4 linked regions of the Callithrix jacchus genome follow. The protein of the gene in region 3 purifies or fractionates together with the protein of the main gene of each other region. This does not show direct contact. Links are inferred from orthologs where the notes say so. Each region holds a gene or a part of one and is shown on either strand. Other genes may lie near its edges. The genes, in order: ITGA9, CD63, ITGB1 and CANX.

Region 1 (7,565 bases), on a different chromosome or scaffold from region 3:
CACATGACTAGAACCCCACAATTTTCTCACCTTTCAGATTGTAAGCAAAGTCTTCATTCTTGAACCCCAAGCCCTAAACACTGACCAGGCCCTGCAGTGTTTTATGAGCAGAAACACAATTCAACCTCTTCGGCGGGCAACAATTTTTAGTTAGATGTAAGCACTGTAATACTTCAGATGTAAAACTGAAATCGATGTCTATTTCAGTCTTAGTACTCAAATGCGCTACAGCTTCATTTTTCTTTTTCTTACTGCTCCTTTTGATCCGTGTCTAAGACTGACATCATTGTTCTCAACCCACACTGCCAAGTAGAACTTTCCATGATGATGAAAATGTTCTCCCTGTGTTGTGTCGAAAACGGTAGCCATGAGCCCCATGTGGCTACTGACTGCTTGAAATGTGGCAAGTGGAACTGAGAAGCTGGATTTGACATTTTATTTTTAGTTAATTTAAATAGCAATATATCTGGCTAGTGGTGACTACATCAGACAGCTCACCAGAACTGTCGAACTTGTTCTTCTAATTCTCAACCGTCATCCAAATCGGGATGTTATGTTCTCCTCGGCTTGGAATCGCCTCCTATTCCTCACTGAACAAAGCTCCGACAACCTTAACGAAGCAAAAAGCCCAGTGCATCTTCCATTTCCGAGCACTTGCTCTGTGCCTGAGCACCGCCGTCTTGATGTGTCCCAGGAGAGGGAGCAGGAAGCACGTCTCCAGAAAGGAAGCCAGTGCACCCAACCACTTTGGACTCCAGGGCGTCTGGGGCAGAGGAGGCGGAGGGATGGGGAGGGATGTGAAAGACGTCCGCTCTGGAGGCTGCACGCCAGCCAGGCCGCGTTTATTTATATCACAGGGTGTTACAGTTGCCAGCCCTGCAGCTGAGGAACTGGTCCATGTCTAAAGGAAGGGGACAGAAATCGGCTTTGTCCATGTCCCCTGGCACCTACTGTCGTTGTTCAAAGGGTGCCAGAAGACTCGGGGATGGGAGCTATAGGAGAGGAAGCCGGCTCTGGGCAGGCAGATGCTCGCTGGGTGTTACTAGAGAAAAAGAAAATGGAATCGCTTGCACGTTTGTATCCCAACTGATACAAACATCATCTGGAACACTGTCCAGGATATTCTGGTCCATCTAGCCATGGGACAGTCCTCACTGCCGAGAGCTCAGTGACAGAGAGACCACTCAAGCAAGTACTCAGAAAAGCTGGGTCTGGGGCTCTGTGATCAGTGTGATATGGCTGCAGAGCTGGGTTCAGTCACCAGGGCTGGGAAAAGCAAGATCACCCCCACCCTTACACAGGGATCTAGGACCCTCCGATTAGAGACAATTTTGAGCTACAAAATAATCGAGAGAAATGCTTAGTTATAGGATCAGAGAAGTGCTAGTTCCACCAGAGCACATTCATATACTGTGAGATGTACACCCACAGGTTCTGCCGCCTGCCGAGTCCATGCTGACTTTGCTGTCTGGGCTCTCCTCCTGCCACTTCCAGAACATTCTTCTCCCTCCCTTTCCCTATAGACAACATATTTTTTTCACCTGTAAAACAGGTGGTTGATTAGCATGAAGCAAACGTCTTAGACTGCAAAATACTGAATTAAGTAACCATGAATAATGTCGTCAAGAAGAGAGACATAAGATACAAGGCTCAGTGAACATGTCTTCTTTTCCTTTCAAAGTTTTGCTATATTGCTTTTCCCTTGCATGTCTGTATTTTACCTTCCTCACTCAGGACTAGTATTTGATACTTTTCAGTCACTCCCATGTAGGTTCTATCCTCTTCCATTGCACTAGAGCAGCCCTTTGCAAAACTACTCCAAGCCTCCAGCGTCTGAATAAATCAATGCATTTTTCTAAAGTACACACGCTTCACTGGCACTTTGGTAATACACAGAGAATGCCTTGAAGCTGCCATCCTCTCTGACCTAGCAATTCCAAGCCTAGAAATTTATTCAAAGGAAATAATTAAGATTGTCCTCAAGGGTTTCCTTAAAGGTTGTTTAACCCTGCTGCTATTTGCAATCACAAATCATTGAAAATGACCAACATGTCCCTCAAGCATGGCTAGAAGATCCAGGGCTCAGGTTCTACTTAGTAGTAAGCAACCAATAATCTGTCACTAAGTCAATCAACCAACCACAGAGTCAGGAAAAGCAACCAGTCCCAGAGTTGATGTTAAGGTACAGACTTAGGGCAAATCCAGAATTCAGAGGACCTGATCTTATACGTTTAGGGTGACTACCTTTAAGAAAATTAATATGCAATTATAAAATTGGGGACAGGGAATTAATAGGACCCTGCATAAGCTAGAAGCCTTTGGCTTAAGTTTCAGCAGCCTCGCACAGTGAGTCTAGCCTCTAGAGGAAAGACAAAGGAGAAAGAAGAAGATGCTGGAAGTCGCTCGTTTCAAAGGCCGCAGCTTACCAAGCCTGGGCAGTGTAAGCAGCAAAAAATACATTCAAGGTCTAGGACGAAGAATATTGGGAGAAAGGGGAAAGAGAAAAAGGATGGGGAGGAAAATACTTGAAAACAACATCAAGAGAACAGAAATCAAGAGGAGAAGAAAAAGTTAAGGCAATGTGGTGGGGGCGGGGAGGAAAAAGAAGAGTTCTTTTGAAAAGATTTCAGTAGAGTTTAGGTGGTGCCTGAGCAGCTACAGGGACAAGCACTCCAATACAAAGAGTGGCCAGCTTACATCAGAACGAGAGGGGGCACTTTGGAGCCCGGCAGCCCAGCTGTATGGTCCCATGGACCCCTGAAATGCCAGTCCCACATCTCAACTGGCAACAAGGCTATGCACAGCGTTACTGCCCAGCTCCACACCGACTCCCTACCATTTACACCGGGTACCAAGTTGAAGACCAGACTGTCTTTTCCTACACTGGCCAAATCTGCTCACGTCACACAGCTTTTCTTCATCCTCTTCTTAAAACAAAGTAGGCTGAACACCTTTTCTGTCAGATCTGCCCTCCTCATTCCTTCCGCAGCCCAGGTGGCTTTGACCTGTGGCCCATGCAAATCCACAGTGACAGTAGCCTGGCCTCTCTCCCTCTAGCTGTCAGAGAGCTCCGGGCACTTGAGCCACCCTCAGCCTGCAGATCACACACAATGCTCTCTGGCTGGCTTGGCTGCCTGCTCCGCTGCCTGCCCTTTCTCAACAGCCCCCTGTCGACAGCAGCCCAACCATTTGTGACAGAGCTTCCCGCGTGCTTCGTGCCTAGTGCGGGGATCTGGGATGTGTTCTTCAGTCGCAGACCCTGAGTCTGCAGGACATAGAAAAAGCCTTCAGCCCGCTCTGCTTTAAAAGGGGAAATTGACAACTGTAAGGACAGACAGACACTGGGTCTTAAACCCAGCAAGTGGAGTCAATCAGAGAAGGGGAATGTGGAGGTGGGTGAGAGCTATGGGAGGACTTTGAAAGCCGGTTCTCTTGGAGGCTGATCTCCCAAACAGCATGATTCTTAGTGGGCTGCTCCCGGAGTCCCCTTTTCAAGGAATGCTCGAGTTCTGCGATCCACAAACCACCCTTTTCCATCAGCCTCTGTCCAATACAGAGCAGTGACTCTCCTGCGTAACTTCATGCTGAGAGCACCGGCATCAGTGACCTCGACCTCCCTGTCTGCCACCCCTAAGGACGCTCAGGCTGGTGACTACACAATAAAGTCAACCCCGGCCTGGCTGTCACCTGGGTCCCCATTGACGGATGACCTTGAACGGAGAACTTCCCGCAGCCCCTCTCTCCTATCGAGAAGTGACCACTGTGTGGCTATTTAATCCCTGTGGGCCAGGGGAAGTGGCCAAGGAGGGCACCAACCTCCTCTTCGTGCTTCTCCACTCGAGTTGGTCACAAGCTCTGTACCACTCAGCTGATGATGCTTAATGGAGCCAGAGCCGCCACCTTCTTCAGGCCCACCGCTCCGGGCTCAGAGGACAACTGAATCCCTTGGCCTCTACAGAAACACATCTCTCTCTCAAGGCTTCTGGTCAAAGTCTCCAGGTGGAATTGGTCCATATGAGAAGAGACTCAGGCTGCCCCAAGAAACACCTACCCGCCCCACCTCTGTCACTCGGAAGTGCTCTCTTACCCTCCTCTTCCCTATATCCAGGAGCTTCTCCACCCCACTTCCATCAAGGGTCTTGTAGGGGTCGGGGTAGGGGGGCCTCTGGGCTCCAGCGCGCCCGAGGGATCCCAGACGCCCTGCCCCTGGGGAGCACCACCCCGCGCAGCGGCGCTGGAGAGGCTACGCTCCTTCCTCAGAGGTTCCCCAAAACCGGGGAGGGGTGCAGCTGCAGTGCCCTGATTCCCCCAGGCCCGGCGAGGTTCGGGAGGCTCGCCGGGCCCACGCGGCCGCTCGGAGGCAGAGGAGCCAAGTTACTCCGCGATCCGGAGAGCGAAGCCGAGTCTAGCTGGGCGGTCCAAGAGGCAACTCTAGCGGCGCTCCCCGCATGCTCGGGGCTGGGACCCGGGGGAGGCGCGCGACAGCCCCGCCCGCCTCCAGGCGCCGACCGCGACCTCCGCGGCCCCCGGACGGTGTCCTCCCTTCTCCCGCCGTCCCCCGGGGGCCGAGCCGCGCGCAGCGGAGACATTTAAATCGCCCCCTCGGGACGGCGGCGGGGAAGAGGCCGGAAAGTCGGCGGCGGGCCCGGGGGCCGGGGCGGTGGCCGCCGGGCCGGGGTCGCGGAGCGGGCGGACACTCACCAGCGCGTGTTGTCGTGGAAATGCTCCAGCACCGCGTAGCCGAAGAACGAGTTGGCGGGGCCCTGGAAGCGCACGGGGCGCTGTGGGTCGAGGTTGTAGGCGCCCGCGGGAACTCCCGCGACCACCAGCGCCAGCAGCAGTGCACGGAGCCCCCTGGCGCCCCTGGGCACAGCCGGGCCGCCCATCCCCAGCCGGCTGCCGCCCTCCCCTCTGCTGGGCGAGCGGGGCGCAGAGCGCGCGGGCCGCGGGGTCCGCCGACGGCCGGGAAGCGTCCCCGGGGCGGGAGCTCTGCGCCCGAACGCAGGCGGGATGCGGGCGCCGGGGCGCGGACGGCTGGCTGAGCGGGCGCGCAGGCGAGCACAGGGGCGGCCCCGAGCGGTCGGCGTCCTCTGTCGGCCGGAGAAGTCTGAGCGAGCGGGTCCCGGGCCGGGCGGCGCTGGACTGCGGAGGGGCGCGCCCGCTGGGAGGGCGGCCCGGGCGGCGGAGGCTGGACGGCGCGGCAGCGCCCCCTGCGGGCCGCGGGCCCCGAGCACTTCCCGGGCAGGAGTCGGTCCCGCGACCCGCAGGACGCCCGGAGCTGCCCCCTCCCCGCTGCGCCCCGGGCGCTCGGGTTCCCGGAGGCGAGGCTGCGCCCCTCCGCCACTATGGGTTCGGCCGGCCCTGAGGGCCTGTCTCCCTGCTTAGGTCTCTCTTTCCCTCCCAGTCACAACCAGCAAGGTCCAGAACAACCTGAGTGAGGAGCGAGTTTAGACTCCAGAGTCTGGCCCTGCGCGCCCGCCGCTCCTTCACCCAGTTGTGGGATCAGCTGCAGGAGCGGCGCTCAGTGAACGCCGGCTGTCGTTAATCACAATAGCAGCCACGTGGAAGCGAGCAGAGCGCCCCTCAGTGTTCTAGTCACTCGCTCTCCTACACCAGTGATTCCCGAAGTGCAGTCTCCGGACCAGCAGCATCAACATCATCTGGGAACTTGGCAGAATGCAGATCCTCAGGCCCCACTCAGCCCTGCTGAATAGGGGCTCTGTGGCTGGAGTCCAGCAGGGTCTGCGTGCACTCAACGCTGTCACTGTAAACATGCGTAATAGAAAGTTTACCATCTTCACCATTTTTAACTGTACAGTTTGGGGTATTAAGTATATGCATGTTATGCAGCCATCACCGCCCTCCGTCTCCAGAACTCTTCATCTTTGAAAACAAACTTTACACCCTAAACAATAACTCCTCTTTCCCCTACCCTTACCCCCATCCAGAGCCTCTGGCAGCTACCTTTCTACCTCCCGTCTGTGAACTTGGCTACTCAAACTCAAGCTTCCTACTGAACTGACTGCGATCCTTCCAGTCTGACCACACTATTGTGGTTTCCCTGCCTGTGTTCTCTTCTTTCCACTTTTTACTTCTACACCAGAGTTTGGGTATTGTTTAAAAGCTTCCTGTTGCCCCCCGCCCCCACCCTCTTCTCCTGCCTCAAGATGGAGCCACACCTCCTCAGCATACCTTCACATGGAGGTTCCATCTCCTTTTCCAGCCCCATTTTAAGCCCCTTTCCCACTCCACTTCCCACAAACCCTACAGTATATCCACACACAATTTCGAGCTGTCCTCTGAGCCTGTCCAGCAGGGGTTTTCACACACATCTGTTCCTTCTCCAACGCTGTTCTTTCTTCCTAAAATTGCCTACCCCTCTTAAACTGGAAACAAAAATCCTATCCATTCTAGACGTCCAGGCCAGTCCTCCCCTCACCCTTTCTGTCCCATTTCCTCTGCCCTTTTCTCTTCTGGGCTGCCAAAGGGTATTAACATGCCTCTGTCTCAACACTTAGAACATGGTAATCATTTCAGGGGCTCTCTGTCCCTCTCCAGAGATGGTAAGGCTCTCCAGGGAGAAAAAAGTCTTAGACATCTTTGTAGCCCCAAGGCCCAGCTCAGTGCCAGGCATAGGAAGATGCTTAAACATTGTTGAAAGAATGAACTGGGCTCATGCCTGTAATCCCAGCACTTTGGGAGGCCGAGGCAGGCAGATCACTTGAGTCCAGGAATTCGAGACCAGCCTGGCCAACAATGGCCAACATGGTGAAACACCATCTCTACTAAATATACAAAAATTAGCTGGGCATAGTGGTGCACGCCTGTAATCCTAGCTACTCGGGAGGCTGAGGCAGGAGAATTGCTTGAACCTGGGAGGCAGAGGTTATCGTGCCACTGCACTCCAGCCTGAGTGACAGAGTGAGATGACATCTCAAAAAAATTTTTAAAGAATGAACTACTTAAAGAAAAGCAAGCTTAGGAAGAGGACAAAGCACTTTGGGGGAGATTTTGAAGGAGACTTTTAACTTTGTGTTTTGGTGACAGTGAAAAATGATCAATTCTCATTGCAGGACACTAAACACAAGGTTTCCTTTTGTTTTTCTTTTTTGTTTTGTTGTTGTTGTTGTTTTTGAGGCAGGAGTGCAGTGGCGTAATTACAGTTCACTGCAGCCTCGACCTCCCAGGCTCCAGCAATCCTCGCACCTCAGCCTGCCGCGTAGCTGGGACCACCGGCTTGTACCACCATGCTCGGCTAATTTTTGTATTCTGGGTAGAGATGAAGTTTTGTCATGTTGCCTAGGCTGGTCTTGAACTCCTGAGCTAAAGCAGTCCACCTGCCTCGGCTCCCCAAAGTGCTGGGATTACAGGCATGAGCCACTGCGCCCAGCCAAGGTTTTCATCTGCGGTAGAGATCATTAGTATCTCCCTGGTATTTATACTTCCCATTTTCCTTACTAACAAGTACCAGAGCGAGTGGCGTGTTAATATGCCTAGTTTTAAAAATAAATAAAACTATGTTTCCCAGGCTCTTTTGCAGATAGAGTGGCCTTGTGCAGTGTCTG
Region 2 (7,757 bases), on a different chromosome or scaffold from region 3:
ACTACTACAACACGCTCATGGTCTCTGGTCAGTTCAGTGCCTGCAAAATAGCTAACACCCACAGGGGGGCGCAGGGAACTGCCTCACATCTACAGCGGCACCTCGAGGAGGGGCCATCAGAGGGCACTTTGATACATTTTCCTTATTTTCTAAAGGGGAGTAAGGTTGCAATTCAGGGTCTGTACTGAGAATGGCCTTTATATTTCTTGGGGGAGAAGAGCAACTGATGAAGAGGGATGGGGGTCAGGCTGGGTGGCTTCCATGGAAAAAAAGGCAATATTCACATAAATTCTCTTGCTAAGGAGGAGACTGGCCACACAGGTGTCAAGGCAACTTATCACCACTTTGAAAGGAGCTGGATCCCTGGAGAACTGGCCAGGGCAGGAGGTGCTAAGCCCTTAGCGGTGCACAAAAGGCCAGGAAGATGTCCAAGGTAGCTGTGGGCTGGGCTCTCCCAGGTGGGACCTTTCTGGGGAGCTGCTTTGAGTCATGCAGCAGATGGCTTCGTGAACGTTCGGAGTGAGCCTGGCGGCACAAGACTAGGGGGCAGGAAGCACCACAGTCTCTGGATTGCCACCTCTCCCACTGCCTGCCCAACCAACACCTTCAGCAAAGTCCTCCTTTCCCAAATGCCCCCACAATACACCTTCCTGAAGTACACAAACAGTAAGGTCCCAGAGGACAGGGAACATGGGTAAGGAAAGGAAGGAATCAAGCATCTCTCTAAGACAAACTCAGACCATCTCTCTTTTCCGTCTGAAAAAATAATCCGTTTAATTGAAAAACCTGGAGGATACTACTCCACTCCCCAAGATGAAGAGGGCGAAGAGTCCAGACCCTACATCACCTCGTAGCCACTTCTGATACTCTTCACGAGGCAACAGGCAAAGACAATTCCCAAGACCTAGAAAGAAAGATGGGGATGGGGGTGGAGAGGAGTCAGAAGGGCAAGCTACCCCAGACCCATGCAAGAGACCCCAAACACACACTCCCAGGCCAGTACCTCCTGCTCAGCACCCTCCCCACTGCCCCTACTCCAGGCACCCTGGACTGAGTCCAGCCCCTCCTCAGGGTTATCTCTCACCTCGACAAAAGCAATTCCAAGGGCTGCTGCAGCCACCACCAGCACGTTTTTCCTCAGCCAGCCCCCAATCTTCTCCACACAGCCCTGAAGGGTGGCAGGCACACAGGACAAAAGCACCATCAGAAACTTACCACCCCATCCCCCTCCCCTGGTCCATCGGTCTCTTCCCTGCCCCTGTACCTTTCACCCCACCCTTATCATTTCCAGATCCCCTCCCCATCCCTGACCCTGTCCACCTCCATCCTAGGTCTCGCTTGCCTCCCAAAACATTTCCCAGGTTTCCCAAGTCCCGTACACAGTCTCCTCCCTACCTCCTTATGGATCTGCTTCTCGGTGAAATTAATCCCACAGCCCACAGTGACATTAACGCAGCAGGAGTCAGGGACTCGGTTCTTCGACATGGAAGGGATTTTCTCCCAATCTGTGTAGTTAGCAGCCCCACAGCACTTAAACTGGGGGAGGGAAGAAATACGGAGAAGGTTAAGTGAACCTCCATCTTCAATATGGAGCTGAGAATTCCTTTTTTATTTTTTAGACAGAGACTTGCTCTGTTGCCCAGGCTGGAGTTCAGTGGCACGATCTTGGCTCATTGCAACCTCTGCCTCCCAGGTTCAAGCGTTTCTCCTGCCTTAGCCTCCTGAGTACCTGGGATTACAAGTGCACGCCACCACACCTGGCTAATTTTTGTATTTTTATTAGAGACAGGTTTCGCCATGTTGGCCAGGCTGGTCTTGAACTCCTGACCTCAGGTGATCCACCCACCTTGACCTCCCAAACTGCTAAGATTACAGGCATGAGCTAACGCGCCCAGCCTTGGAGATGAGAATTCTCTATTCCCACCCCTGCTCCCAATAACCCCACTCACATCTGTCTGCATCCTGTCCAGAATCGAAGCAGTGTGGTTGTTTTTTGGGTAATTCTCCATCTGCTGCCGGAAGTTGTTATTAAACTCTGACATTACCTGAGAGTAGGTAAGGAGCATTGTTGCAGTCAGAATTCAAGCACCTGGGTCCCTGCCAGGCTGAGGCAGGCCCTTCCCGTTATTTCCTGCTTACCTTATCTCTAAACACATAGCCAGCAATGGCTGCGGCCACCTCTACCAGCATGATAAGAGACAGGAAGATGGCAAACTGCAGGAGCAAAGGACAGGAATCAGGTTTGGGGTCTGCATTACAGGGGCCCATTCCGGCCCACTCCGTCCCTGGACACTCACAAACGTCTTCCTCACCCACCTACCCACCTCACCTCACCCACCTTCCTGAGCCCCAACCAAGCTGCCCTGGCAGTCCCAGACCACCCATGCTGGCCCCACTCCCTGCCACTCACCGTGATCATAAGACAGTAGTTCTCCTTGCAGGCCCCACAGCAGCCCACAAAGGCCACCAAGAAGAGGAAGACACCCACTGCAATGATGACCACAGGCAACAGGGAGCCAGGGGTAGCCCCCTGGATTATGGTCTGACTCAGGACAAGCTGTGCCCCGACACCCACAGCAATGAGTCCCACTGCACAGGCCTAAGAGAAAGGCAGGCGAGGATTAGGCTGGACCCACAACACAGTGGCCCTCCATGGTGGAGGACAGGGGTACACCCAGGACACAGACTTGGCCCTAACCAGAGGAGAGATTCTCACACCTCCAGTGAACTTTTTCGGCTGTGGGGATGGGGGATGACCCATCCTTGCCTGGCCCCAGCTCCTCTGACCCCCTCCAGGCTCTTTAATCAGGGACTTGACCAAATTCAAAGGCTTCCCAGAAAGCCTTGACCTCCCCCAAGGCGCATGTTTCTGACCTAGAATAAGGCTTTCTACGGGCCTCAAGGGTTCGCAGCTCAGTTCTCTCCCAGAACTGGCCCCTCGCTATCCTCCAGTGCACACCCTACGCGCCTCAGCTGTAACTAAGGTTCCTCTGGCTAGTTAGGCCAAGAGAAGGGAAGAAGAAAAGGGGGAAAGAGAGATGTGCCCCTCCCTAGACAAACAGTAGCCTCTCAAGACAGGAGCCCAGAGCAGGAGCAAATTGAGGTGGGCAGAGCCCTTCCTCACCCCCAAGCGCTGGGAGGAGGGAAAGGGGGAGAAGGACTGGAGAGGGATGGGGGTGTGGGTGAGGAAGAGAGGGGAGAAGGGAGAGAAGGGAAGCCCCGTGGCGATAGCATCAGGCGGTTGGCTGGTTGCCCCACTCACTGCCCCATATCACAAGTGGTTGGGTCACCAGACAGGAAGGGCCAGGAGGGGTGGGGGTAGGGGTTGCTGCACCCCAGGATGGCCATTCTCTGTGGAAACCAGCCTCAGGTGTCCAGGAAAGCTGGAGGAGGGAGTGGCCGCGCTGTCTTCCCCGGCTTTCCTTCCACATCTGGTCTCCAGCTGCCTTCATTCTTACTCCCTCAGCCCTCACCAGTGTGCTGCCAGGTCTCCCCGCACCCTGCCAGCGCGCTCCCCAGGACCCCTCGCCACTCACGCAAAAGGCCAGCAGGAGGACATAGAGCAAGAACTTCACACATTTCATTCCTCCTTCCACCGCCATGGCTGCCGGGCCTGGGGCAGAGGGGAGGGCGGGGGGATTAACACAGGCCGAGAGGGGACCTCGCCTTCCGCGCTCCCCGCCGGCCCTCGAGGGCTTCCCTGCACGCCCCGATTCCCGGCCCCTCCCACCCGGAAACCCGCGGTTGGATCCACGTCTCCCAGCCCCCTCTCCACCCGCAGGAGAGGGGTGGGGGTGACGGCCGCAAAGCCCGGACCCCGCCCCGCCGCCCGTGGGGCCCAGGACAGATCCAAGGACGCCGGCAGGGGCTTGAGTCAGAAGCCGATCCTCGGCCTGCCAGCCTCCCGGAGTCAGACACCCCCTCCCCGCCCAACCGGTCCGGACAAACGGTCTTCAGCCCAACACCGACCCCCACCCCGACCCCTTTTCCCTGGGATTGGACCTCTCCGCCCACGAAAATAAAGTGCGGCCCGCACCCCTGCCACACCCTGCCCTGGCCTGGGAACTTCGAAGCAAAGTTGCTCGACGGAGGCTGGAGAGCGCCGGGCAGGTCTCCTCGGGCCTGGGGCCAGCCCTGGAGGAGGAGAACGCCGGTGGTCTCCGCCAGCCCGCGCCCAAGTCCGCCGGGACCCCCCGGCCTCACCTGGGTTCCCCAAGGCTGCGCGCTCCTCTCCCGCCGCGGCGCCGGGGCTCTCTAGCTGCGCCCCCCGGCTCCCGCCCCGCCTGCCGCGCAGCCCCGCCCCGGGCTCCAGCCACGGTCCCCTCCCCCGCCGGGTGGCCGCCGACCTCCCTCATGTGACGCGGGAACAGCTGAGGTCTGAGTCACTGGGGCCGGCGCGGGGTGGGCCGAGCCCCCCGCCCAGCCAGGGCCACGTGGCCTCTACCCGGAAGACAGCGCCCACCCCCGAAAAGGGAAAGCCGCAGGGGCAAGACCTCGAGGCGCCGGGGGCCCCCCTCCGGCGCCCCCACCTCCGCGCCAACACCGAGTAGGAGAGCGGGGCGGAGCGCCGCCTGGGTCACTCTGGTTCAGAGAAGCGGAGGAGGCGGGTGAGAGTTACCCTCTCAGGGCCGGGGCGGAGAGCGGAGGACTAGTGACCCGGCGGTCTGAGAGAGGCTTCCCTATCCTTCTCCCACAGCCCAGCTCTCTCCTCTGGCTCCAACTCAGTGCGAGCCCCTCCCCATCCGACTCTGCAGACAGCTGTGGTCTGCCTGGGTCGGATGGGGTCAGAACAAGCACTTCTAGAAAGTCCCTGGCCTCTCATCGTGGGTGTCTCCCAACATGCTAGAGTATTCTAGAGTGGGGGTTTCTGGTCCCCTCCATTAGCACAGCTTCTCCATTTTCCAGGGCTCCTGGTCTGAGCAAAGAGGAGGAAACCCTTCCTCGAAGCCACACTCTCCAGTCAAAGAAGACACGTCCTCGTCGGGTCCCGTCCTCTGGGGGAGGATTGACAAGGTCTGTGCTCCCAACCTCCCGGACAGCTCCTGCATCCGCCTGCTATGGCGTGGGCTTGCGGGAAGACACGAAGGCGGGAGAGGCTTATGTCCTCTGGATTTCCCCGTCTTATCCCAGAAGACAAAGCCAGGTGAGGGCTGGAAGCGGGCTAGGGGGGCGAAGCAGCCTCCCTCCCTTGTGTGCCAGCGGTGGTCCCCAGAAGGAGCTGATCTGAACAGACCAGAGGGTAGGACCGGCCGTCACACTCCAGCCTGGGCCCCACTCCTTGGGCTCTTAGAGTCCTGCCTCAAGAACCACTTCCTGAGTCTTGGTGTATGTATGTATCTAAAGTCTTGGTTTATGTGTGTACACAAAGAAGGAAAGAAACCTCTGGGCTGAACTGAGAAGCAGCTTCCAGGATCATGGCCTTCCCGCCGGACACACCAAGCCAATTCCCGACCTTGTTCTCCCTAGCCATGGAGGGCAGGCTGTGGAGGAGGAGCGAAGAGCTGAAAAAAGGAGGATTCAGGTTCCTCATTGTGCTGCCACTAGATGCCAGGCATGTGCTAGGCACGGGGGCTGCAAGGAGAGGAAGACAGTGGCCCTGCCCTGTGCCAGCAGGCAGAACCAAGTTCTGGCCACACTGAAGAAAGGCAGAAGCCTGCTGCGGCAGCTGGTTAAGCTCAAAGGGACGATAGGAGAATGGATTTCATGGAGCAGGGTGGTGTGCTCAAGGTGACCTTGGAGAATAAAGGGGAGAGCTCCAGGGACAGGGAAGCAGTTAACTGTGAAAAAAAAAAAAAAAAAAAAGAGCTTTTTTTTTTTTTTGAGACGGAGTTTCGCTCTTGTTACCCAGGCTCGAGTGCAATGGTGCGATCTCGGCTATCTCGGCTCACTGCAACCTCCGCCTCCTGGGTTCAGGCAATTCTCCTGCCTCAGCCTCCTGAGTAGCTGGGATTACAGGCAGGCGCCACCATGCCCAGCTCATTTTTTGTATTTTTAGTAGAGTCGGGGTTTCACCATGTTGACCAGGATGGTCTCGATCTCTTGAGCTCATGATCCACCCGCCTCGGCCTCCCAAAGTGCTGGGATTACACGCTTGAGCCACCGCGCCCGGCCAAAAAGGAGCATTTTTTTAAAGTATATGACAGCTTGGGGTTGGCTGGCTCGAAGTGCTTGGGAAGGATGTAGTGAGATGTGTTGAAGGTGGTCTGAAAACCAAGATTGAGAGACTTTCGATACATAACAACCAACTTGGTCCTTCACTGAATAATTGTCTGAACAAACCAGCTGTGAAAGACATTTTGGGACATATAAATATGGACTGAGAATTAAACATGAGAAAATTATTTTGTGAACTGTTATCATGGTTAACAAAACGGGCATATCATGATATGATTATATCGACAAGTTACTCTAGTTTTTATTTTTTTTCTTTATTTCTTTTTTTTTATTATTTATCAGCCAGTGCATTTGTTTACAGGAAAGAGGTCCCGATCCAGACCCCAAGAGAGGGTTCTTGGATCTCATGCAAGAAATAATTCAGGACAAGTCACAGTGCAAAGTAAAAGCAAGTTTATTAAGAAAGTAAAGTGGCGATACAAAATTAGCCGGGTGTGGTGGCAGGCACCTGTAATCCCAGCTAGTGGAGAGACTGAGGCAGGAGAATCGTTTGAACTTGGGAGGCAGAGGTTGCAGAGAGCCAAGATCGCACCACCGCGCTCCAGCCTGGGAGACAGAGCAAGACTCTGTCTCAAAAAGAAAAGAAAGTGGTAAAGGGCCGGCACAGTGCCTGTCACCTGTAATCCCAGCACTTTGTGAGGCCAAAGCGGGTGTATCTCCTGAGGTCAGGAGTTCAAGACCAGCCTGACCAACATGGAGAAACCCCATCTCTACTGAAAATATAAAAATTAGCCAGGTCTGGTGGTGCATGCCTGTAATCCCAGCTACTCAGGAGGCTAAGCAGGAGAATCGCTTGAACCCAGGATGCGGAGGTTGCAGTGAGCAAAGATGTGTCACTGCACTCCAGCCTGGGCAACAAAAGTGAAACTTCATCTCAAAAAAAAAGGGGGGGCCAGGCGCGGTGGCTCAAGCCTGTAATCCCAGCACTTTGGGAGGCCGAGGCGGGTGGATCACGAGCTCAAGAGATCGAGATCATCCTGGTCAACTTGGTGAAACCCCGTCTCTACTAAAAACACAAAAAATTAGCTGGGCATGGTGGCGCGAGCCTGTAATCCCAGCTACTCAGGAGGCTGAGGCAGGAGAATTGCCTGAACCCAGGAGGCGGAGGTTGCGGTGAGCCGAGATCATGCCATGCACTCCAGCCTGGGTAACAAGAGCGAAACTCCGTCTCAAAAAAAAAAAAAAAGGAGGAACACATCTACCCTAGGTACAATGCTCATATATATGGAGAGATGTGCTCTGCTACAAGGGTTTGTGATAAATAATTTTCTTAATTACTATATTTTGTAAGAATTGATATTATCTGTTTATTATTATTATTATTATTATTAATTTGTTCCCTTAACCATAAATGTCTGGAAGCTAAAAATGCCTTTCTGATAATGCATCCCAGCAAGTCCCAGCCCTCACTCAAAATGGAGTCACTCTGGATCAAACGCCTCTGACACATTGATCTAACCCAGTGAAAGGCAGTCTTAGGATTTGAACCCAGATCTCTGGGGGAGTTCCAAAGCCTGTGCTTTTTTCCCTTCATTCTAGGAGGCCAAGAGAAGAGAGAACCTTTTTTTTTTTTTGAGACAGAG
Region 3 (7,054 bases):
CCAGCCCAAGACTCCATCTCAAAAAAAAAAGGAAAAAGAGTCAGGGGGCATATGATCTGAGATGAGGAGACAACCAAAGAATGGCCCTGGAAGCCTTGCTGTGAAATCTGAACTTCATCCTGCAGGTGGGATACCACTGAGGGAAAAATAGTATTCCACCTACAGGATGAAGGAAAAAGCCAGACACTTGCGTAGCTGCCTTCTGCAAGACACCAAATAAACCACTGTGATTTCAGCTCAGCAGCTTGTGTGATACCAATCAGAACCCGACAACATGCCTCAGTCCTCAGTCCCCTCTCCTCAATATACACCTTGATCGGTTGTTTCAGAAACATGGAGAAACTCAGGATCCCTCAGAGACAAACAGCATATAATGTGTATGACAAAATTGTGCAAACTCTCAGCTCTAGTCCCAATTGAAGTTAATACATTATACAGTTGTGACAACAGACATTTCAAAATGGGGGTCAGAAAACTGGATTCTTGCAACTACCATCTTAAAAAGCCAGAGCACAAATAAGTTAGGCTCCACATTTATATCCTATCTGATTGGAGGCTAAGTGCTATTTGGTCCTTCAAACATGTTGGAAAAATAAATTATTATCTAATTAAGTTTCTTTAAAATAATGTGTTTGCTAAATCTAGTATTTAAAACTCAAGAATTATAAGGGAAGAACAAAATAATAATAATAATAATGAAAGAAAGAAAGCCCTACCCAGCTGAGTCCAAAGTGTAATTTACATGGAAGAACTTACCTTTGGAGAAAAATCTATCTTGTCATATACACAAACATTTGTATTTATTACTTCAAAGTCCATCCAAACAAAAGTTTAACATGCAAGGTTAGATGTAAAATTAAGCTCACTATCTGCATTAGGCATCATTTTAAATGGAGGTAAACTAAAATAATTCAGATTAGTTTCCATCATTCAGAGTGCAACACCACCCAACCCCAACAAAACCCGAATCAAGAGAACAGGGTTACATTACGAAAGGAAGCCCTCAGTGCTCAGTAAAATGTTGTCTTTGTGCTCACTCTGCAATAGCTTCTATAATGTATTAGATATGTAATGCAGAACTGTGGGAGATTTCGGATCCACATTTAAACCTGCATAGCAGCAGATGAGGACAATTTTTTTAACCCACTCCAATAGTTAGAAGCTGAGAATGTGACACGTTCTTTTTACCGCTCCTACTTATGCCAAAGTAATTAGTGCCTGCGAAATATTTCAAAAATATTGGTGACATAATTGACGGGCAAACCTTGGTCCATATCAGAAATTTTTTTTACAATCTATGATATAATTTCTTGATGCTTATTAATTTATTTCAATTTTACTTAGTTAAGTTCTACTTTTTCTTGAGAAAATATCTCAAAAATAATCATATTGCCTGGACTTCAATAATGCAAAGAAATTTTTACCAAACTTTTGCTTCTTGAATTACATTAAATGCTTCTTTTAACAACATTTTAGCCATATATACATTATAAGCATTAAGTTTAAATAACATTTACTGATAATTTCCTTCAAAATACAATTTATTTTTTTTTTTTTGAGACGAAGTTTCGCTGTTGTTACCCAGACTGGAGTGCGATGCAACGATCTCGGCTCACCACAACCTCTGCCTCCTGGGTTCAAGCAATTCTCCTGCCTCAGCCTCCCAGTAGCTGGGACTACAGGCATGCACCACCATGCCCAGCTAATTTTTTTATTTTTAGTAGAGATGGGGTTTCACCTTGTTGACCAGGATGGTCTCAATCTCTTGACCTCGTGATCCACCTGCCTCGGCCTCCCAAAGTGCTGGGATTATAGGCGTGAGCCACCGCGCCCGGCCTTCAAAATGCAATTAAAGGTACGGAAAGGGTGAAAATTTCACCTCTCTGTCTGAAAGAAATTTTTTTCTCCCGTGAAAAATAACCACATGAAATTGTCAATATTTGACTATTTTTTTTTTCCTACAACTAAAGAAAATAATATAAAAGAAAAAAAAAAAGCCTGGCAATGTCATTGACTAATCAGTTTTCCTCTAAAAATGACTTTCTGTAAAGTATTAAGTGAGAACAAGAAAAACATGTCATCACACACTAATACAAATATGCTCCAACCCTGCCCATATGTGAATCTGAATATAATTTTCTGCCATCAAATTTAACTTTAAAAAGTCTTATGGTCTACTTAGAAATAAAAATCTGACAAGTTAATGATTTCTAATATTATCAGTACTTCCTATATCACTTATAACTATTAAACATTCCTGTACTTAGGCTCTTTTTCATGATCCGTTTGTAAGCACACTCCCAACAGTCAATAAGCATAACTGCGGCATTGGGTTCCATGTATTCAAGTGACTGCCCTACTAAGATGTTTGCCAACAGAGGTGGTGTTAACTCCGACAGAGGAACAACAAATTGTCAAAACTCTGTAAATCTCTAAAGAAGACTGATCTACCTCTTCCTAACCAGGTAACAGGGACTTCTGAAGATACGTAACTGCTACCAAGTAGAATATCATAGACAAGAACATGAACTCTGGAGCCCAATCGCCTGGGTTCAAATCCCAGCTCTCTGACTAACTAGCCATGTGAATTTGGTCAAGTTATATAACCCTTATGTGTCTCAGTTTCCTCATATGTAAAAAAACAGGTATAAACATCATTCCTTCAACTTTCACTATGAAGATTAAATATAGATTAAGTGTTTACAATCATGCCTGAGACACAATGAGTTCTATGTAAGTGTTACCAACACCGTCTTTATCTGCAAAATAAGGTAGGCAGTGAGAAAATTGGAAATCTTCCAGGCCCTATTACAGTCAGTCAACTGGGAAAGAGAAGAAGAGTTCCCGATCACCAGTCAAGAGAATTTAGTTCTAATCACAATTAACCTTGGTTATCACTGAGTTTTAGGAGCTTGCATGATTATATTGAAATACGATGGAAGCATTTCATGAAAATTCAGACAGGAACAGTTTCAAACTTACACTTGAAAATTAGAATCATTCTCACATACACACACAGACACAGACATATATATAATATACAAAGATATATATATATAATATGGTCTTCCAGCTTTTAATGAAATTTAAAGTTATATTCAATAAATTAATCTCAAATCTTCTGAGAAACAATAATAATGATATTGTAGTTGCATACCACACAACTTACATTTAATTTTCTATTTTGCAATTTGGAGTCCATGATCAGTTTTCACTACCCAACCCTAAGTTTACTCTAACAATTTGTTATTTAAGGATAATACTGGTGGGGGCACAGTGGCTCACACCTGTAATTCCAGCACTTTGGGAGGCCAAGGCAGGCAGATCACTGGAGGTCAGGAGTTCTAGGCCAACCTGGCCAACATTGTGAAACCCCGTCTCTACTAAAAATATAAAAACTAACTGAGCATGATGGCAGGCACCAGTAATCCCAGATACTTGGGAGGCTGAGGCAGGAGAATCACTGGCATCTGGAAAGCAGAGGTTGCAGTGAGGGGAGATCATAACACTGTACCCCGGGCTGGGTGAAAGAGCAAGACTCTGTCTCAAAAAAACAAAACAAAACCAAAAACAGAAAAAGAAAAAAGGATACTATCATTCTAGGCATAGAATTGTTGTGAGGATTAGAGCTCACAAGCTGATTTCATATACTGGAGTGCATTTGCCAAATACAATTGCCCCATACAATACAGAATACTGACTCCCTTTGATAGATGAGAGAAGTGAAGTGGCTCAATGCTGTTCTACTTACTAAGTGGAAGAGCTGGGGTTTGACCTGAGGTCTGATTGCAAATCACATTCTCTTCTCACTACAACACAGCTGCTGTTTCTATACCACATTACTTATTTTAGTCTTTCTAAAAACGAAGTTAACACACAAAAAGAAAAGCCGCAATAGCGATATAAATAAAGCCAGACTTAAAAGAAAAGCAATAGTGATAAAGGGCACACAGTGCAGTAAAAAAGTAAATGTTCACATGCAAAGGCAGAAAGTGAAAGAAAATACGAACGGCAATTTAGAGACCAGTTTTACGTCCGTAGTTTGGATTCTTGAAATTATTAATAGGACTCTTGTATATCGGATTTTCTTGCTAAAGTAAAAGAAATAGTTTCTAATGATTTCATCAGAAAAAAAATAGACATTTATAGTGTTCAAACACTATAAAGGGAATTTTTTTCTATTTCTACCCTTGTGAAATTTATAATTTTAAAAATTGATAATTTAAAAAAATTCCAGCAAACTGTAGTTAAGTGCAAGTAACTACAATTCATTTACAACTTAAAAAAACTAAAGATTGCCAATGCTTTCTTGTATCAAAATATGAATACACAGAGGCTGAAACTGACTCCATATTTCAAAGCACTAAATGCTAACATAAACTTTCAGTCACTTAGGGCTTTTAAAATTTTTATAAGCCAAGGTTTACTGAGATATAATTTTCATAGAGGAACATATACCTTTTTAAAGTACATAGTTCCATGAGTTTTCAAATACATAAATACATCCAAAATCAAGATCATCCCAGGAAGTTTCCTTATGGCCCTTTGCGGTGAACCCTTTTCCTCATTCCAGCCCCTAGCAACAACTGATTTTTGCCCATATAGTTTTGCTTTTCCAGAATGTCCCTTAAATGAAATCACATAGTATATAGCAGGGGTGTCCAATCTTTTGGCTTCCCTGGGCCACCTTGGAAGAATAATCATTGTCTTGGGTCACACATAAAATATACTAATGATAGCTGATGAGCTTAAAAAAAAAAAAGTCACCAAAAAAAAAAAATCTTACAATTTCTAAGAAACTTTACAAATTTGTGTTGGGGCCACATTCAAAGCTGTCCTGGGCTTCATGTGACCCACGAGCTGCGAGTTGGACAAGCTTGGCATATAACCTTTTGAATCTGGCTTTCACTGAAGGTTCTTTGTCTTTTTTTGTTTGTTTTTTTAAAGAAAGAAGCAGCTTTCCATTGAATAGCTTGCTACACAGGTAACATTATTTAGGATTCTATTTCACATTAGATGAAAAGGCAGATTTAGGATCAAAACTATTAAAGAAATAAAAATACCGGCCACAGTAACTAGAATATACGTGTTTATAATCAATGTTTTGTTTCAATGAGATATATTTAGGATGCTTCCTGTTTTTCATTAAACGCAAATTCTTTGAATGAGAAACTTTTGGGGGACTAAAATATTTAAAGGAATTTAATAATCAGCCTGACAGTTAATAAGTAAGTCTTAGGAGTATTACATTTGATTTATAAGCCACATTGGTTTTTGGATGTTTTGTAACTTACCGTGTCCCATTTGGCATTCATTTTCTCCTTTTCAAATTTAGCAAATTCCCTTCGGTCATGAATTATCATTAAAAGCTTCCATATCAGCAGTAATGCAAGGCCAATAAGAACAATTCCAGCAACCACACCAGCTACAATTGGAATGATATCTGGACCTGTAGGACACTCTGGAAAATAAGAAGGTAGTAAGGAGCACACAAGGGACAAACACATGCAGAGTCCAGCGACAACCACAAAGAGCTGCGCAGTATCTTATAAAAAACATACAGAAATAAACACACAAGACAGTGAATGCACGCTATCCCAAAGACTCCATAAAGTAGCTTTTGGAACAAGTGAGTTTAGGAGGTCACATGATCAATGAACAAAAATCATGTATTTTTCTACATATATAATGTATTTCTACATATTGAAAATAGAAATTTTTAAACAGTATCATTTATTACAAAATGAAGAAGCATGAAAAACTTACATATAAGTCTAACAAAATATATGCAAGATCTGCATGTTAACAATTGCTACACACTGATAAAAAGAAATCTTTAAGACTGAAGAAATGGAGGGATATTCCATGTGCATGAATTACAAAATCTAATACTGTCAAGATGTCAATTCTTCTGAACTGGATCTATAAACTCAACGATATCCCACCCAAATTCCCGGCAGAACTTCTGTAGCAATTAGCAAACCAATTCTAAAATTTACAAAAAAGGCAGAGAACTAGGGAAGTGTCTCAAAAACACTTTTGGAAAGAATACAGTTGGAAGACACCTGCTTCAGGACAAGCTATAAAGCTACAAGACCATGTGGTATAGCTAACAGACAGACTCAGATACATGGAACAGCAATCAGAGTCAGAAACAGACCTACACATGTAAGGTCACCTGATTTTCAACAAAGGTGGAGAAAGGACAGTCTTTTTTCAACAAATGCCCCTGGAACAAGTAGACACTAATATGAAAAAAAAACTGACCCTTTTGCCATACACTAAGACTAACTCAAAATAAGTTACAGATCTAAACGTGAAACCAGAAACTATAATAAACTTCTAGAAGAAAACACAGGAGAAAAAGCTCTAAAATCTTGGGTTAGGCACAGTTCTTACAGACAATGTAAAAGCAAGATTCACAAAAAGAAAAACTTGGTAAACCATACTTCATCAAAACTGAAACCTGTGGTGTTCAAAAGACACTTATAAAAAGATAAGGAGGCACAGGCTGGGAGACAATATTTGCGAAACACCTAGCTGATAATGCAAAACAGTACGAGACTCTAAGAGTATGGCAGCTTCTTACAAAGTTAAACATATGCTTACCATATGCTCCAAAATGCCATTCTTAGAATTTACCCAAGAGAAATGAAAGCTTATGTTCACACAAAAGCATGTACACTAAAGTAGCAAATTCCAAAGAATCTATAAAAAGCTACTAGGAAAACTAAGATTAAAAAAAAAAAGTTTCACCTCCTGAGAAGTTAAACAAATTCAACACTTATATATTAACATCCTTTAGCAAATTATCTTTCCCAGTATTCAAGACTAAATCAAGCTCTAATTTTAAAATCATCAATCATAAAAAAGTCTTATTATGCACCTGGTGTCAGGTACCATTCTAAGTGTCTTACATAGATCACTGCATTTAATCTTCAAACTCTCCACTCAGAAAATTTAAAATTGGAGCTCTCTTTTCCTTATTTCTTGTATGGTTAATTAAATACTATTTTAGGCTTCAAGAGATGAAAAATTTCCCAACTTGAACCTA
Region 4 (7,447 bases), on a different chromosome or scaffold from region 3:
TGTGATCTTGGCTGACAACAACCTCTACCTCCTGGGTTCAAGTGATTCTCCTGCCTCAGCCTCCTGAGTGGCGGGGACTACAGGTGCATGCCACCACACCTGGCTAATTTTTTGTATTTTTAGTAAAGACAGGGTTTCAGTGTTAGCCAGGATAGTCTCTATCTCCTGACCTTGTGATCTGCCCACCTTAGCCTCCCAGTGCTGGGATTACAGGCGTGAGCCACCATGCCTGGCCTAGGCATTCTTACTCATTTAGTCATTCCTTTTTTTGGGTTGGGGGGATGAAGTTTCACTCTTGTTGCCCTTACAAAATGCTGGAATTTACAGGTGTGAAACACGGTGCCCGGCACTTTTTTTTTTTTTTGAATTTTTTAATACAGGGTATCTATCACCTATGCTGGAGTGCAGTGGCACAATGACTGCTCACTGCAGCTTCAACCTCTTGAGCTCAGGTGATGCTCCCACCTCAGACTCTTGAGTAGCTGGGACTACAGACGCATGCCACCATGCCCAGCTAATAGTTTTTTTGTAGAGGTGGAGTTTTGCCATGTTGGCCAGTCTGCCCTTTCATTTTCATCTATTCTTATTCCTTTTTTTATTTTGAGACAGAATTTTGCTCTTTTTGTCCAGGATGGAGTGCAATGGCGCAATCTCGGCTCACTGCAACCTCTGCCTCCCAGCCTGAAGGGATTCTCCTGCCTCAGCCTCCTGAGTAGCTGGGACTACAGGCCCATGCCACCACGCCTGGCTAATTTTGTATTTGTAGCTTTACTAGAGATAGGGTTTCACCATGTTGGCCAGGCTGGTCTCCAACTCCTGACCTCAGGTGATCCACCCATCTTGGCCTCCCAAAGTGCTAAGATTACACGTGTGAGCCACACTGCACCTTGCCATCATCTATTCTATTATCTTCCTCCCTGCTCAGTTGGTGCTCCACCAAAATTCCTATCACTGGTGGTGCACTCATCCCATAGGTGCTCTAGGTGCTGCCTGGTAACTCTTAGCTGCCCCTGCCATAACTAACATGTAGAAGGATACAAAAGACTGGCTCCCTTGCCTTAAGGAGGCCTAAGTGTGATGCCATTTGTGCTCACAGTTCTCCATGACAGCAAGCGGAAGCTAGTCTCTATGTGAGACCACACTCTGCCTCAGCCTTAGCCTTTTTCCCTGCCCTGTCTTGCTTCCCTCACCCTCTTCTCCTGAGAGCACTTCCCCAATAATTCACTCGAGCAAGAATGATCATCTTAGGCTCTGCTTCTAGGGAACCTGACCCATGACACCCTCTGTTAGCTTCCTCAGAAACTATCTTATTGGTTCCTCTAGAACAAATTCCTGTCTTGGACTCTGCTTATGACCACCCCCTTCATTCCCCTGCCAAGGATGACAGCTTAATGAGGGCAATATCTTCTTCACTTCCCTAGAATTGTTCCTAGAAAACAGTACGTGATGAATGATGCACTGAATGCATGCAGCAGAGAGCCCTGGGTCTGTCTGACAGCTCAGCATTCAGCAACCCTTCTGACCTGGGATAGCCTGGCCTGGAGGCATTGTGAGTCATAGCAGGTAGACACTAGCTGAGTGGGTCAGAGACGGAGCCAGGCCTGGGACAGGAGCTCAGCAACTCCACCACATCTTCCAGGTGAGGCACAACATACAGTGAGAACTAATGGGGAAGGGTCCTCTGACAAGATGCAATCTCAAGGGTGGGCCTAGATGTGGACTTCCAGAGACCATCTCCCTAAACCACATCTTGGGGATGGCATGTACCATCCAGCCTCTGCCCAGCTATACGTGAGGGATAAGTGTGTTATGAATTAACGAAGGTATAAGAGGGAAGCCTGCTCAAATTCTTTTTCTTCTCACTGTCCATGGGCAGAAGAGAAATTAAAAACAACATATAACTCCTTGGCCAGGTGTGTTGGCTCATGCCTGTAATCCTAGCACTTTGAGAGACCAAGGCGGGCAGATCACAAAGTTAGATTGAGACCATCCTGGCTAACACTGTGAAACCTCATCTCTACTAAAAATACAAAAAATTAGCCAGGCGTGGTGGCATGTGCAGGTAGTCCCAGCTACTAGGGAGGCTGAAGTAGGAGAATTGCTTGAACCCGGGAGGTAGAGGTGGCAGTGAGCTGAGATCATGCCACTGCACTCCAACCTGGGCTACAGAGCGAGACTCCATCACAAAAACAAACAAACAAAAACACATAGCTCCCTTTTTCACATAATAGAATCAGCACTTACTGGGCAGGGGAGTACAGGGAGAAGTGAGCAAAATGGGACTTGTCTGTTATCTGGACTTTGGATTCCCTTAGGACATAATATGTTTGGAACAAAAGTCATGTCTAGTGTGCACAATCTGTCATGTCTGTTACTTTGAGCCCTATGCATAGCTCTAGCCCATGGCACACACCCTAGGATGTCAGTGAACACACTGGACCGTGGTCTACACAGGCATCTGTCTTCCAAGCTGGATCAGGAGCATCTTGAGGGCAGGCAGAGGCTGTTTCAGGTCCTCCTTCCAAGACCAGGACCTGGCACAGAGAATATGCTAGTTGACTGAATGATGAGGGCAATCATGCTGTTGGCTATGCTAGACACCCTCCCAGATTGTTTCCAGAATCCAGATCTAACCCTAGCTTTGTAAGCCTTCAGCAGTTCCCTCTTACACACAAAAAGAAGTATAAGCTTCTGAGCCTGCCTGTGCAGCACCCTCACATAGTGCCCCGGTCCACCTTCCCAGCTTCCTCTTCTGCTCTTCTCAGCACCAATCCTATCCAAGCTCGTGTTCACATCTGAAACATGAAAGTCCTGTCGGGTGCGGTGGCTCACACCTGTAATCCCAGCACTTTGGGAGGGAGAGGTGGGCGGATCACCTGAGGTCAGGAGTTCGAGACCAGCCTGGCAAACATGGTGAAACCCCATCTCTACTAAAAATACCAAAAAAATTAGCCAGGCATGGTGGCGGGTGCCTGTAATCCCAGCTACTCTGGAGGCTGGGGCAGGAGAATTGTTTGAACCTGGGAGGCAGAGGTTGCAGTGAGCAGAGACCGTGCCATTGCACTCCAGCCAGGACAACAAGAGCGAAACTACGTCTATAAAAACAAAAACAAACAAATAAACAAACAACCCTGCTTGGCTCTTCCCTCTGCCTTTCTGCTCTCCATTTTCCATCCTCAGCTCACCTGGCAAAGTCCTACTCCTTTCAATACCTACTTGTCTCTGCTACCATTCCCTACCCCTCACCCTTCCAGCTGAAACTAAGAGAACAGGGCGCTCCTAGCGTCCTTCATCTGCATATTTATCCCAGCGCCTGATACTCAGTGGTCTTTGGGTAAGGTGATTTAGGTGAGACGGCTGCCTGTGCAGCGTGGAGGGACGGGCTCCTCGGTGGCCAGCACCTGGTTAGCCACAGCCGCAACCCTAGCTGCAGGGCTAAGCCATGTCCACCGGCCTCGAGGTTTGATAGGCAGCCTGTATTGAGCAAGCTGCTCACTCATACTCTTGCCTCCCAGCAGCCCCTCTGGCTCGCCTTCATCATTCTGGACATCCAGGTTCCCGAGGCAAGAGCGCAGCCAGTGCTGGGGAGTCGCCAGCACTCCCGAGGCTCCCCTCCTAGCACCTGCGTGCCCTACAAGGTCCACCCAGCACTCGCCATGGCAACCTTCGAGTGCCTGACTACGAGCCATGCCAGCCACGTGTGGGAGCAGCTGCGGCAGTTTTGGGCCGATCACATCTCGCGGCGCTTCTCGCCACGGCGGCCGCCAGCGCGCCGCATCTCCTCCCTGTCCACCTCCTACCTGCTGGATTACAGCAAGCGCCAGGCCGAGCTGGGCCTCTGCTACGGCGCGCCGCGCATACGCCTCGAAAACCAGGCCTTCGAGTTCCGCGGCGGCCGGTGGACAACGGAGGGTCACTTGGCGCCGACCGTCTCGGGCTGGAAGGCGCAGGAGCAGTGGACCACGATCCAGGTGTTGCTGAAGGAGAGCAACTACCTGAAGCTGCAGCAGGAAGTGCTCATGAATATGCTGACTGAGACCACGGCGCGCATGCACCTGCTGGAAAAGCAGCTCAACCTCGAGGTGACTCCGGCTGCTGCAGCGCACGCCCGACAGAGGAAGATGCGCAAGCGCGCAGGCGCCAGCGGGGACGTGCTCAGGATCCAGCCTTGAGTTCTGGACTCGCAGTGACGTAATAAAGCCCGCGCTGCGCATGCGCGCCTCGTTCCTTGTGACTAACCCTGACCCGCCAGGGACTGTGGCGGTTTCTGTTCCCTGGGCGAGGTTTTGCGTGCGGGCGGGGGCGGTCTGCGTGGCCTCGGGGACTGCCCCTCGGTGCTGGGTGTCGGCGGGGGACGCAACCCTAAGCAACGCATCTCGGGAGGGTGCGATGGGGCCGTGGAGGAGGGTCTGCGCGTGACTTCGGGAGCGCGGGCTGGAAGCCAGGCTTGCCTCGGGCAGGGCCCAGACAGGGTGGAGTGGCAGGTAATGGCCTTGCAAGCCATACAAGTAACCGAGGGCGAAGTCCCGCAGGCGGAGGAACCGTGGCGCTCAGGGAATAGAGGGTGCGGTGCGGCAGGAGCTGAGAACAGTGTGGGGGGGCTTTGCACTTGGTCGGTCCTCTGGGCCTCTAGGATCAGGAGGTTTAGAAACTAGGAGTCCTAGGGTAAGTGTATTTTACATTCCCAAGAGAAGCTTTCTCGAAACCTTGGGTTGTGCGGTCCCCACTTGCCGGTGTGGCATTTTGGAGAGTTGCGTCTCTGTTACAGGCCTCCTTTTTTTTTTTTTTTTTTTTCCCTAAACACTGGGTCTGGCTCTGTCACCCAGGCTGGAGTGCAGTGGCGCGATCATGGCTCACTGCAACCTAGACCTTCCGGGCTCAAGCAGTCCTCCCACCTCAGCCTCCCATACTGGTGGGATTACAGGCGTAAACCACCGCGCCCAGCACAGGCCTCCTTTTATGCTTCCATAGAATGCGGTCTTCTCTACCCACAATCTTAAAAATTGCATTTGTTGCCAAGGTTTCAGAATTTGGAGATAACACATTAAAAATCCAGATTTATTGGGGCCGGTCGTGGTGGCTCACGGCTGTAATCCCAGCACTTTGGGAGGCCCAGGCAGGCTGATCACTTGAGGTCAGGAGTTCAAGACCAGCCTGGCCAACAAGCTGAAACCTCCTCTTTACTAAAAATACCAAAAGTTGGCTGAGAGCCGTGTCGGGTGCCAGTAATACTAGCACTTTGGGAGACAGGCGGGTGGATTACCAGAGCTCAGGAGTTCGAGACCAACCTGGACAACACGGTGAAACCCCATCTCTACCAAAATACAAAAAAACTAGCTGGGTGTGATGGCAGGCACCTGTAATCCCAGCTACTCGTGAGGCTGAGGCAGGAGAATTGCTTGAACTCAGGAGGTGGAGGTTACAGTGAGCCGACATCACGCCACTGCACCCCAACCTGGGTAACAAAATGAGACCCTATCTCAAAAAAAAAAAAATCCAGAATTGCCAAGCATGCTGGCACACACCTGAAGTCCCAGCTACTCAAGAAGCTGAGGTGAGAGGGTCCCTTTAAGCCCAGGAGCTTGAGGTCAGCCTAGGCAACCTAATGAGAACCTCTTAAAAAAAAAATTCCAGAATAGGCAAGTTCATAGAAACAGCTTAAGTTACCAAGGGGTGGGAGGAGGGAGTTTGTGTGTGTGTGTTGGGGGGAAACACAATGGGGCTTCCTTTTGGTATGAGGAGAAATTAGAACTCTGGTGGTGATAGTTGCACAACATCATAATAAAGGTCACTGAATGGTATACTTCAAAACGAATTTTATGTGAATTTTATCACAAATAAGTAAAAGGAGGAAGACACTTTACATAAAAAAGTAAAGAAAAACTTAAATGTAGAATGCCAAAATAGCAAAACTCATAAAGGTGATCCAGGAATGCTTAAGTTTAGCGAATATTGCTTTGGCCAGACTACCTGAAAACAAATACAGTCCTAGGGCAGAGAAAGGTACCTGTCCCACCAAACCTGCAGCAGGCAGGAAGCCCCACAGCCCAGTGCAGGTCCTGTTTAGAAAGAGGCATCCAAGTGGATCAAGGACCTGAACTAAATGGATCAGGATGACATTTTTTAATATCTGACTTTGTTCTTCCTGCTCTGGAATTTCACACCCTGGTCCTGAGCCCTGCTTGGGAACAGCCAAATTCATTGGCCCAGGAGATGAAAGTGACAGAGTAGAAAGCAGGAACAAAGGACCCTGGCTTTTACCTCCTACAGCTCAGAATCCTCTGGGGAATAGAGCTATGTAGGTCAAAAAGGTTGTGTAGGTTTGTCAAGCAAGAGGCGAGATGAGGGCTGGCTGTGGTGGCTCACACCTGTAATCCCAGCACTTTGGGAAGCTGAGGCTGGCAGATCACCTGATGTCAGGAGTTTTAGACCAGCCTGGCCAACATGGTGAAGCACTGCCTCTACTAAAAATACAAAAATAGCTGGGTGTGCTGGTACGAGACTTTAATCCTAGCTATGTGGGAGGCTGAGGTAGGAAGATTTCTTTAACCTGGGAGACACAGGTTGCAGTGATCTGAGATCACGCCACTGCATTGCAGCTTGGGTGACAGTGCAAGACTCAGTCTCAAAAAGAAAAAAAAAAGATGAAGCAGGAGTAAGGATCTCATTGGGTCTTCTATCTTGGAAAAAAAATCTTGTCTTCCTCATGCCTGTAATCCCTGCACTTTCAGAGGCTAAGGTGGGAGGATCTCTTGAGCCCAGGAGTGTGAGACCAGCCGGAGCAACATGGTAAAACCCCATTTTCATGAAAAATAAAAGATAAGTCACCATAAATAAGCCAAAATAAAAATTTAGCCACCATGACCAGCTAATATTATATGTGTGTGTATATTTTTTTAGTAGGGATGAAGTCTCACTGTGTTGTCCAGGCCGGTCTCCAATTCCTGGGCTCAAATGATCCTCCTGTCTTGGCCTCTCAAAGTGCTGGGATTACAGGTGTGAGCCACCATGCCTGGACATTAACACATATGTGAAAATATGTACAGAATATAAACTACTAAAATAAAAATACTATGTCTTACTATAACTTACTGTACCATGGATTTTTTTTTAAAAACTAAGGTAAAAGTCATTAAGAAAATAATACAAAGCATAAAACATCTGTCAAAATTATGAAAATTCCAGAATAATTGGACAAAAATTAAAAAAAACTAAAACAATTGAAAAATTACTTAAGGAATAAAATGTAAGCTACAATGACAGCTTCTGTCTTACAAAAAAAAGTAAGAATTTTGTTTTGTTTTGAGCCGGAGTCTTGCTCTGTTACCAGGCTGGAGTGCAGTGGCACAACCTCAGCTCACTGCAGTCTCCGCTTCCTGGATTCAAGCAGTTCTCCTTACTCAGCCTCCCGCGTAGCTGGGAATACAGTCGCCTGCCCACAACAGGA

The links.
Region 1: the proteins of ITGB1 (region 3) and ITGA9 purify together in Homo sapiens (affinity purification with mass spectrometry; 3 studies listed by BioGRID and IntAct, counting the BioPlex papers as one, with this or other methods). This does not show direct contact. The link is inferred for Callithrix jacchus from reciprocal best matches to the Homo sapiens genes ITGB1 and ITGA9.
Region 2: the proteins of ITGB1 (region 3) and CD63 purify together in Homo sapiens (affinity purification with western blotting; 3 studies listed by BioGRID and IntAct, with this or other methods). This does not show direct contact. The link is inferred for Callithrix jacchus from reciprocal best matches to the Homo sapiens genes ITGB1 and CD63.
Region 4: the proteins of ITGB1 (region 3) and CANX purify together in Homo sapiens (affinity purification with mass spectrometry; 3 studies listed by BioGRID and IntAct, with this or other methods). This does not show direct contact. The link is inferred for Callithrix jacchus from reciprocal best matches to the Homo sapiens genes ITGB1 and CANX.

Annotation. Positions count from the first base shown.
Region 1 is NC_133518.1:75,302,381-75,309,945, reverse strand, and holds the start of ITGA9 (integrin alpha-9), read right to left. Parts: upstream 5,110-7,565; 5' UTR 4,887-5,109; coding exon 4,702-4,886; intron 4,433-4,701; exon of another isoform or gene 4,088-4,432; intron 1-4,087. UniProt on the Homo sapiens protein: Integrin alpha-9/beta-1 (ITGA9:ITGB1) is a receptor for VCAM1, cytotactin and osteopontin. It recognizes the sequence A-E-I-D-G-I-E-L in cytotactin. ITGA9:ITGB1 may play a crucial role in SVEP1/polydom-mediated myoblast cell adhesion.
Region 2 is NC_133510.1:63,925,895-63,933,651, reverse strand, and holds CD63 (CD63 antigen), read right to left. Parts: upstream 4,257-7,757; 5' UTR 4,037-4,256; intron 3,614-4,036; 5' UTR 3,603-3,613; coding exon 3,537-3,602; intron 2,600-3,536; coding exon 2,411-2,599; intron 2,215-2,410; coding exon 2,140-2,214; intron 2,046-2,139; coding exon 1,950-2,045; intron 1,537-1,949; coding exon 1,396-1,536; intron 1,169-1,395; coding exon 1,085-1,168; intron 905-1,084; coding exon 839-904; 3' UTR 749-838; downstream 1-748. UniProt on the Homo sapiens protein: Functions as a cell surface receptor for TIMP1 and plays a role in the activation of cellular signaling cascades. Plays a role in the activation of ITGB1 and integrin signaling, leading to the activation of AKT, FAK/PTK2 and MAP kinases.
Region 3 is NC_133508.1:32,597,280-32,604,333, forward strand, and holds part of ITGB1 (integrin beta-1), read right to left. Parts: intron 5,462-7,054; coding exon 5,295-5,461; intron 4,092-5,294; coding exon 4,017-4,091; 3' UTR 4,011-4,016; intron 1-4,010.
Region 4 is NC_133503.1:71,972,322-71,979,768, forward strand, and holds the start of CANX (calnexin), read right to left. Parts: upstream 3,516-7,447; intron 3,461-3,515; coding exon of another isoform or gene 3,443-3,460; intron 2,535-3,442; 5' UTR 2,414-2,534; intron 1-2,413. Other genes in the region: CBY3 (sperm annulus positionning complex subunit Chibby3), read left to right, coding at 3,443-3,460, 3,516-4,172. UniProt on the Homo sapiens protein: Calcium-binding protein that interacts with newly synthesized monoglucosylated glycoproteins in the endoplasmic reticulum. It may act in assisting protein assembly and/or in the retention within the ER of unassembled protein subunits.